Sus scrofa: one gene and its partner. The protein of the gene in region 1 interacts with the protein of each later gene in a pairwise test. Links are inferred from orthologs where the notes say so. Each region holds a gene or a part of one and is shown on either strand. Other genes may lie near its edges.

Region 1 (4,347 bases):
GGTATTTATGGTTGTTTGATTAAAAGCTTTAAGTTTTTATTCATTCGAATTTCTCTTCTCTGTTTTGCAGTTCCTGAGAGTGGAGATCTGGTAAGCTGGATTGTTACTTATTTGTTGTATTGTTTACTACATATGCAGTCAAAAGACTGGTTCTTAAGTGTTGGGGAGTGGGATAGTTGCCACTAGCACTTTGTTGTGAGGCTTGTAGTGCATGGAGGAAGGACTTTACGTGTCTGAAAATTTATTCCATTAAAAAAATTCTGGAGTTCCCATCATGGCACAGTGGTTAACAAATCCAACTAGGAACCGTGAGGTTGCGGGTTCAATCCCTGCCCTTGCTCAGTGTGTTAAGGATCCAGCGTTGCCGTGAGCTGTGGTGTAGGTTGCAGACGCCACTCAGATCCCGTGTTGCTGTGGCTCTGGCTAGGGTAGTGGCTACAGCTCCAATTAGACCCCTAGCCTGGGAACCTCCATATGCCGAGGGAGCAGCCCTAGAAATGGCAAAAAGACAAAAAAAAAAAAAAAATTGTGTGTCCACTGAGAAATGATGAAAGGCTAAAGATTTTCCTTTGTCTTCAGACTGGCAAATACTTTGTCAGGGATTCAAATGTTCAGTCAGTTTTCAAAATAGTTTTCTTCCTTGTTGAAACTATAATATATTAAGTCATTTATTTATACAGTACTATACTAAACTCTAGCCACATTCTGGTTAGGATTCTTTTTGTGGTTATTATTCCAGGGGAAATTTGGTTTTTTTATATGTGCTTGGCAAATAGCTTAGAATAAGGAACAACCTTAAAGAAGAAAGCTACACAGGCAGGGTAGGCTAGATATGTTTTGAATTTGGTTTAAGTCTTTCACCAAATAATGATGATAGTAGCAAAACAGTCTTGAACAGTTATAGATAAAATACCCCTGCCTGTGATTAGACCTCTTTCCTTCAAAGTCTGTTCCTCTCACTGTTTTATTGTTATTAGAGTGGATTATGTTGATGAATCAGAATACACATTCAGAAATTCACAGAATATTTACTCATTGTTTAGTATTACAGAACTTAAATGAGATAATTTTAATTTTTTTTTTTTTTTCCTTTTTCTGCTGCATCTGTGGTGTATGGAGGTTCCTGGGCCAGAGATCAAGTCCAGGCTGCGGCTGTGACTTAAGCCACAGCTGTGGCAACTCTGGATCATTAACCCGCTGTGTCACAGTGGGAATGCTGAGATAATTTTAATTTTGAATAGTGTTAGCAGCATTTCTGGACTGTACTTTGCCATTAAATAGAAATCCTAGGCTGACTTAACCTTTATCAGTAGGACTACATCTCACTTGGCATTACATAGCTGCTTGGATCTTGTCTTTGAGGAACTGTGAAGTGATCCTGTGTTCTTTTTTTATGTCATGTATGCATGATGTTGTTTATAAAAGCCTGAGATTCTTTCTTATTGTTCCATTTGGTGTTTTCAATAATGATTTTAAAAAGAAAATTAGTCATAAAACAAAGTTGTTTTTGTATCTTTTAAGCTAGAAAAAACTAAATGTTAACCAGTTCTAGCTTTTATTTCACACAATTTCTCGAGTAAGTACACTGGCCTGCTAACTTATTTTCTTCATGTCAAAAGCCTATAAGCCTTGGGTATATGTAGATGACATTTGGTCATGAACATGTAAGCTAATTTTAAAAATTTAAAGTTAAAAATGAAGTTGGAAATTTCTGCATGTTATTTAAACCCAACAGTCCCACATATACCAAATTAAATAACTAAGTTGGGTTTTGTGTTGTTTTTACGTGTGTGTAAGCTTTTATTTTTCTTTAACAGGATGATGATGCTGAAGCCATCCTTGCTGCAGACTTTGAAATTGGTCACTTTTTACGTGAGCGTATAATCCCTAGATCAGTGTTATACTTTACCGGAGAAGCTATTGAAGATGATGATGATGATGTAAGTGAGTCTGAGTCATGCAGTGAAGTCATTTTGGTGAGGGTATGATAGTCAGTGTAGGTGAGAGTTTTAATGAATGGATGCAGTTTTTATAAAGATACAATAATTCAAAATTAGGCTGATTACATAACTTTCCTGAATTGTCTTAAAGAGGCCCTCCTAGGATTTGGGGGTTCATTTATTATAGTTTTTGTTTTCCTCCTAGTAGGAAGGCTACTCTGAAATAGTAAAACTTTACTATGTTGGGTTAGTGTTGTAAATCCAGTACATGTCTTTGACCAAACAAAACAACCTAGGACATTTTTCAGATAAAAATCTTCATTAGGAAGCATGGAATCTTTATTCATAGGAATAGTAAGTAACAATTAAGGTAAAAATTAGGCTGCTGTCAAATGTTTTGAATATTTTTGTTGTTAAATGGCCATCATTCAAATAGGCTTCAGGTCTTTTATGTGTGATGTGTTCCACAAAGTACAGGCAAGAAGTATTACCGACATAGTTATCTGATCACACTTTATTGAAGATTATACTGAGTTCTTAAAATTGGTAGGTTTAGATAATGGCACTGAGCTTAGTGATTCCTACAGGTATTGTCCTTGTTTTAATTTATTATCAGTCACCTTAGGGATGATAGCTAAATGCAGCTTTCAGATGTTTGTTAGCGTCATTCAAATGTCATTCTTTTTTTCCCTTTTTTAGTATGATGAAGAAGGTGAAGAAGCGGATGAGGTAATGTTTACCAAATGAGCAAATAATTCTCTGTTTAACACATTGAGAAGCAAATTGAGTGATATGTATTCCTTTGCTATAATCATTAATTCTGTGATACGGGATAAAAACATTTTTGAAAAAAAAATATGATTTTAGAATTCTACAGCCAAAAACAATGTATGTATGAGGTTTCAATAAATAAATTGCACAACTCAGAACTTTTTTTTATTTCAAATAATTCTGTTCTGCTGCAGGGTTATCAGCTCTTTGAAGAAGTCAAAAGCTGCAGTAAACTTTTTCAACGTTGGCTGCAGTAAATCTTTTCAATAAAACCTGTCTGGATGTCTCAAGTTGTGTTGGGAAATTTTTCATATTAGAAGCTTTCAAATTAAATTGCATTGTCTCCAAACTCTGTAATCATGAAAATCTGTTGACTTATAGAGTAACTTGTATTAAATTCTCCCTACATTATGAGCCATTTCTTCCTACTATGTACCTACTTCATGGATGCATTTTGAACTTTAATATAGGAAGGGGAAGAAGAAGGAGATGAGGAAAATGATCCAGACTATGACCCAAAGGTGAGCAAATTAGTGCTGTTTTCTATTAAATTTAAGGCAGGTTAAATATGAGTTGGTGATTCTGAATATAAAGTTAAATATAAAATTTATTTTTGTCTGTTAAAAGTCTTTAATAAATCTCTCCTCACTGGCATTTCAACAGTACATGTAATTTCAGTGCACCTTTCCTAAGAAACTTTTATTTTGGATTCTGACAAATTTTTCAGAGCTTCAGGCTAAATAACCCTAGGATTCTATTTTAATGACACATTATCTTGGACACTTTCTTTTGTAAAAAAAAAAAAAGGGGTTTTTTAAGAGGAATTTTTAATTAGATATTGTGTTCTTAGGTTGTTTTCTCCCCAAAGGAAAGCTTATAAACAAAGTTTAGTTTATAAATCATCTGAATGCCAGCATGCTCAGGGATAGGGAAGCAGAGTTCCTGTTGTGGCTCAACAGAAATAAATCCGAGTAGTATCCATGAGGTCGCAGGTTCGATCCCTGGCCTTGCTCATTGGGTTAAGGATCCAGCGTTGCTGTGGCTGTTGGTGTAGGCCAGCCACTACAGCTCCAATTAGACCCCTACCCTGGGAACCTCCAAATGCCACGAGTGTGGCCCTAAAAAAATACACACACAGACACAAAAAAAGGAATGGGGAGCAATATTATTGTTAGGGTTTCCCAATCACCTTTATTCTCCATATCTGAAAAGTCCCAGTCTCTTAATCCTGGGAAGTTGTCACGTCAGGGTTAGGAAAGGCCTTTATCTCCCACAAAATTCCTTTAGTATGTTACGTGGCTTTATCTGAAACTTCTGGTTTCTCTTTAACATATTCATTCATTTGCTTATGCTGTAAAATATCCAGAAGATACCTAGTAAGCAGATAAGAGAAGGTAGTTAAAAAATCAAATATCCTAACAGGTATGAATTGGCCTTAACTGCTAAATTAGGAGTGGAATTTTTTTTTTGTCTTTTTAGGGCCATACATGTGGCATATGGGAATTGCTGGGCTAGGGGTCAAATTAGAGCTGCAGCTGGAGCCTACATCACAGCCAAAGCAATGCTGGATCCTTAACCCACTGAGTGAGTCTAGGGATCGAACCTTCATCCTCATGGATACTAGTTGGGTTTGTTA
Region 2 (4,869 bases), on another chromosome or scaffold:
TCAAGAAAATGAGCACCATCCCCCCAAGCCCTAGAGGCAGGACAGTTCGAAATCCATACTCCATACAAGGGACTGTAAATGTAGCAGGGACTGCCCACTTCTCAAGGCTTACACACTGGAAAGCCTACTTCTGACCCCAAAAGCAGCATCAAAGAATTTCATTCCATTCAGGTTTTCTGGTTTCCGACAGAGGTGCTGGCCTCCTCCCCACCCCGTGGGACCTCCCTCACCTGATCAAAGTGTTGACCTTAGCCACATCAATGTCATAGAGCTTCTTCACAGCCTGTTTAATCTGGTGCTTGTTGGCCTTGACATCCACAATGAACACAAGTGTGTTGTTGTCTTCTATTTTCTTCATGGCTGACTCAGTGGTGAGGGGGAACTTGATGATGGCATAGTGGTCAAGCCTGGGAGAGGCAAAAAGGGGTCACCTGGCTTGGGCCCAGTAAAAGAAAAGGTGGGCCCTCTTCTGGAGCCCAAGTGCATCAGACAACGAGGCAGCAATCATTTCTGTCAGACTTTGGTCGCTTAACGGTGTCATCATGTGCACCCCAAAGCCTGGGGACCTGAAGGCTCAGCATGGGGCAGAACCCTGGTGCTCTTTCCTATGAAGGGCTTTCATCCTTTAAGTGATTAAACACTGATCTGAGTTCCAGACGTCTTCATTCTTTATCTGACCTCAACATTTCTGAAGGGCAAATTTCTAGAAGAAACCCAAGACTTAAGAGGTTAGATAACCCCAAAATACACATATCACAGAATCTTGAAACCCAGGCTAGGATTCCAAAGAATGTTAATGCTTCACCATGATGCAGAATCAATTATTTTGCCCCTTCCGAGGGCTTGCAGGCCATGGATTCCTTCTTTTTATGGCCACGCCCGCAGCACATGGAGGTTCCCAGGCCAGGGTTCAAACCTGTACCCCAGCAGTGACCTGAGCCGCTGCATTAGGGTCCTTAAACCAACCACTGCACCTCAGCAGGAAATCCCAGGCCATCAATTCTAAAAGCTTTTTATTTACAGCTAGCTCACGTTAAAGATTCAGCAGCTTGAACGCACCCAACACATCTTTCCACCTGAAACTTAAAGAGAAGCAAGGCTCTATTTGCCTGGATACATCGTCCTGTTTTGAAGCTAAAGGTAAGATCTCAACATCTCATCTTGCTAAATCTAGGTTCAAGTGGAGGTAAAAAGCCTTATCAAGTCCTTTTCTCCAAGAGCATACTATTTTTCTTTGAAAGCAGTGGGTCCTCACTGGTGGTTAACTACTACCATGGCTCTACTCTAAACTGTGCTCCTTAAGGCCAGTCATTACTAGCAGTGTGACACCAAAACTATCAAGCACCCTAACCTTTTGCCCACTCTGCCAGACCATTCCTTGAGTGTAAAGAAGTGAGTGAAAAAAGCTGCTACAGGCCTTCACAGTGGAGACAAATGAATCTCATCAATCTAGAATAACCCAGGAGTTCCCGTCGTGGCACAGTGGTTAACGAATCCGACTAGGAACCATGAGTTTTCGGGTTTGGTCCCTGCCCTTGCTCAGCGGGTTAAGGATCCGGCGTTGCCGTGAGCTGTGATGTAGGTTGCAGACGCAGCTCGGATCCCCCGTTGCTGTGGCTCTGGCGTAGGCCGATGGCTACAGCTCCGATTGGACCCCTAGCCTGGGAACCTCCATATGCCTCCGGAGCGGTCCAAGAAAAAAGACAAAAAAAAAAAAAAAAAAAAAAAAAGAACCCCACACCCTCAACTTCAAGGACTATTCCCTACAGCAGTAGGTGCAATGAAGAACAACCTAAACCTGGAACCCCAGAACAAAGAACATTTAAGCCCCACTTTTACACTCACAAGAAAGTAGACCACGCAGGAAGCAATTATTAACCTAAAAATTACCTAACCTTGACACTGACTCTGGGTTTAAAACAACAATTCCTGCCAATATTCCCAAAACACCTTTTGTTCTTAAATCATCTCCTCCCACACCCATTACAGAAACCCACTAAATTACCAACATGATTCTGAGAAGCCATGCTCTAGGTTTGGTAAATATCCAAACTACCAACAGAGAACACCCATACATCTTTTCATAAGTACCGGGGAGTACTGACTTGTTTCTCCTAGGGGCACTCTTCCGAGGATATTTGGGCTGCCTTCTGAGTCGCAGTGTTTTGGGCCGTCGGAAGGTGGGTGACGTCCGGATCTTCTTTTTTTTGTGACTGTGGACGCCTTTCAACACTGCTTTCTTGGCCTTCAAAGCCTTTGCCTTGGCTTCGGCTTTGGGAGGGGCAGGGGCTGAGAGAAATAAAGAAAATGAAGAGTGCAAGAGATACAGAAATCGATCGCTTCCGGCCTCAAGACCAGTAGTGGGCGCCCCAGGCTACACGTGCATCAGTGGTTCCTTTGAAGACATCACAAGCCTCAGGAAGTTCAAGTTTTTCCATCATATGCACGACACTAGGGCGAACTTGGGTTACGATGAAAAAAATTTACTAGCAATGATCGAACGCTTGCTAACTGCCAGAACCTGAACTAATAGTTTTATATATACCACCGCACAGCCATCTTGGGAAGGTATACAGCTCCATTTAACATGGGGGTTAAAAAGGAAAAACAAGTTCAGGGTACAGACTCTCTACAGGCCTGGAGACATGGAGCTCCCCAGGGCCGACTGTCTGGCTGTCCTGGGCAGGTGGTGCCGGCCAGGCTTGCCTCCCCTAACCCCTTCACCGAACCCAGCCCATGCGGCTGGGCCCACGCGCTCCTCAGCATTGCCGAAACGTGAGGAGCCGCTCCGGAGCAGACACCCAAAGGCTTGGCCCTGCCACCGTCCTCCCAGTCGGCCCAGTCGGTTCACTCTGCTTACGGGGATCCCAGGACAGTCAGCTGTGGAACCCCAAGCCCCAGCACACACCTTCCTTCTTTGCCTTCGGCGCCATCTTCGTGAAAAGGGTTTCTAAGACCTGTTCCCACGGGCTTATAGGGCCAAGTCTCACTGAAGACTCGCGATTCTTTTTGCTTAAGGCTGATTGGATAATATGCAGCGCGGCGCCCGCCGGGAATGGTAGATTTAACTTCCTCGCGAGAGGGACTAAACTAGCACCACCCCTCTTTAATGTCAGACACTAAAGCTTCATGGGGGTTGTAGTTTTTTGGAGACACGTGTTTGCTGCGGCGGGTGGATGGTGTAGCCCGCGGCTGCAAGGGTCTGAACGCTTCCCGTCTTGAGCAACTTTAGAGGAGAGAATTACAGTTCCAAGAACTGTAACACTGCAAACGGAATTAATATATTGTAGTTAAATTGACTTAGGGAGAGTGAAGCAAAATTCTATAACATTCGAGCAGAATTTGTCCAGTCCAACTCCCTTAGACAACGTCTGTGGAAGTTGAGGTCGACAGAGGGGACATGGCTTATTTATAACGCGGTGATTCCTTGGCAGAAAAAGTCGAGTCAGGCAGAGGGGAGGAGCAGAGGGGCAGAAGGGAGGAGCTAAGTGTCAAGAGAGGGTAGGAGGCGGCCACATCTTCCCCTTTACCTGTGACAGATTTCATGCATCTTCACAATAATACTCTTTTAAGAGACTGTCAATATTCCAAACACCTAGCGCTCAGATTTCTCCAGGATTCACTCATTTGGGGGGGGGGGAATAACTTCGTTCCACAGTACCTTCCCAAGTAGTCTCTTTGCTCCAGTCATCTTTGCATCCTCAAATTCAGTTCTTGACACAGAGCAGTTTAGTTATGCTCAGGTTTGCTTCTTTGAGGGACTGTGTTTACCCCACTTCACACAGCCTTTCTGCCCTCCCGTCCCCTCTTGGAATCAGAGTTCCCCCTTTGAAGGTGAGATTGATATGTGCTATCCCCTCTTCTAGACTGCAGACTGTAAAAAGGAAAGGGGGGCGGGGAAGATTCAAATAGGGTCAGAGCAAAGAACGCCCATGCCAGAGAGGAGTACCTTTGGCCCAGAGCCGTGACCGCTCCAAAGTGCGGAATCCTGGGTTCTCCTAGCCCTCCTTTACCCTCCATCGAGGGAGGCAGCTTGGTCTTCGCCCCCACCCCCCAATCTACAGATCAGCCTTGGAGGAAAAGGCACCAGACTTCGGACATCTCTCTCCTCGGTGGGCACCTGACTCCGACCCTGACACCCCCTCTGCGCTCCCCACCATCACCTCCCAGGGCAGAAGGGCGAGCGGGGGCAGACAATATGAGTCATGCCCTGGGCCTGGAGTTGAGGAGGGAAGCGCCGCCTCTCCTAGGGCCCCTTCTCTCCCCCTTTCCCCTCCCGCTGGTTCCTGGCACAACCAGATGCTGCGCAGCAATCACCGATTCCCCATCACCAATTCGGCTGGGTAAGGGTCCCCACGGAGGCTCCGACCAGCACCGGAGGTGCAGAGGAGAGAGACCCGGGGGATCCCGAACTGGACAGATTCCAACCTGGGTGGGGGCAGGCCTGGTGCCACGTGAGGCGTCTGGCGGGGGGAGCCTCTGCTGGGGCAGCGGTCGGGGGAGAAGAGGAGGGGGAGGCCAGGGCGGGCTGCGAGGCTGAGAGCTGCCGGGAGAGGGGCGGGGGGCGGCCCTTTCCCAGGAATTTCCGGGGATCAAGTTACAGCGCTCTCTGAGGGAGAGCAGAGTGGGACCAGAGGCCCTGCAGCGGACTGGGCCCCTCGCCCCCTCCTCCAGCCGACCCCCGCCCGCGCCGTCCCTGCCTACACTGACCCCGTGTGGCGGGGCCGCTCCGGGCCCCCGGGCCGTTCTGTTATGGTAGGGCCGCCTCAACCCCGAGTTGTCGTCGGGTCCCCACGGCCTCGAGTTATTGTAGGAACTATTCGGCCCCGAGTTATTGTAGGATCTGCGCGGGCCCGGGTCCCCCCAGAC

Evidence for each region. The genes of interacting proteins can lie anywhere in the genome.
Region 2: the proteins of NAP1L1 (region 1) and RPL23A interact in binary tests that used the Homo sapiens proteins (3 or more experiments, as listed by UniProt). The link is inferred for Sus scrofa from reciprocal best matches to the Homo sapiens genes NAP1L1 and RPL23A.

What each region holds. Positions count from the first base shown.
Region 1 is NC_010447.5:39,332,338-39,336,684, reverse strand, and holds part of NAP1L1 (nucleosome assembly protein 1-like 1), read left to right. Parts: intron 1-70; coding exon 71-90; intron 91-1,817; coding exon 1,818-1,940; intron 1,941-2,639; coding exon 2,640-2,669; intron 2,670-2,905; exon of another isoform or gene 2,906-3,181; coding exon 3,182-3,232; intron 3,233-4,347. UniProt on the Homo sapiens protein: Histone chaperone that plays a role in the nuclear import of H2A-H2B and nucleosome assembly.
Region 2 is NC_010454.4:44,955,236-44,960,104, reverse strand, and holds the start of RPL23A (60S ribosomal protein L23a), read right to left. Parts: upstream 3,255-4,869; 5' UTR 2,934-3,254; coding exon 2,909-2,933; intron 2,290-2,908; coding exon 2,106-2,289; intron 408-2,105; coding exon 231-407; intron 1-230.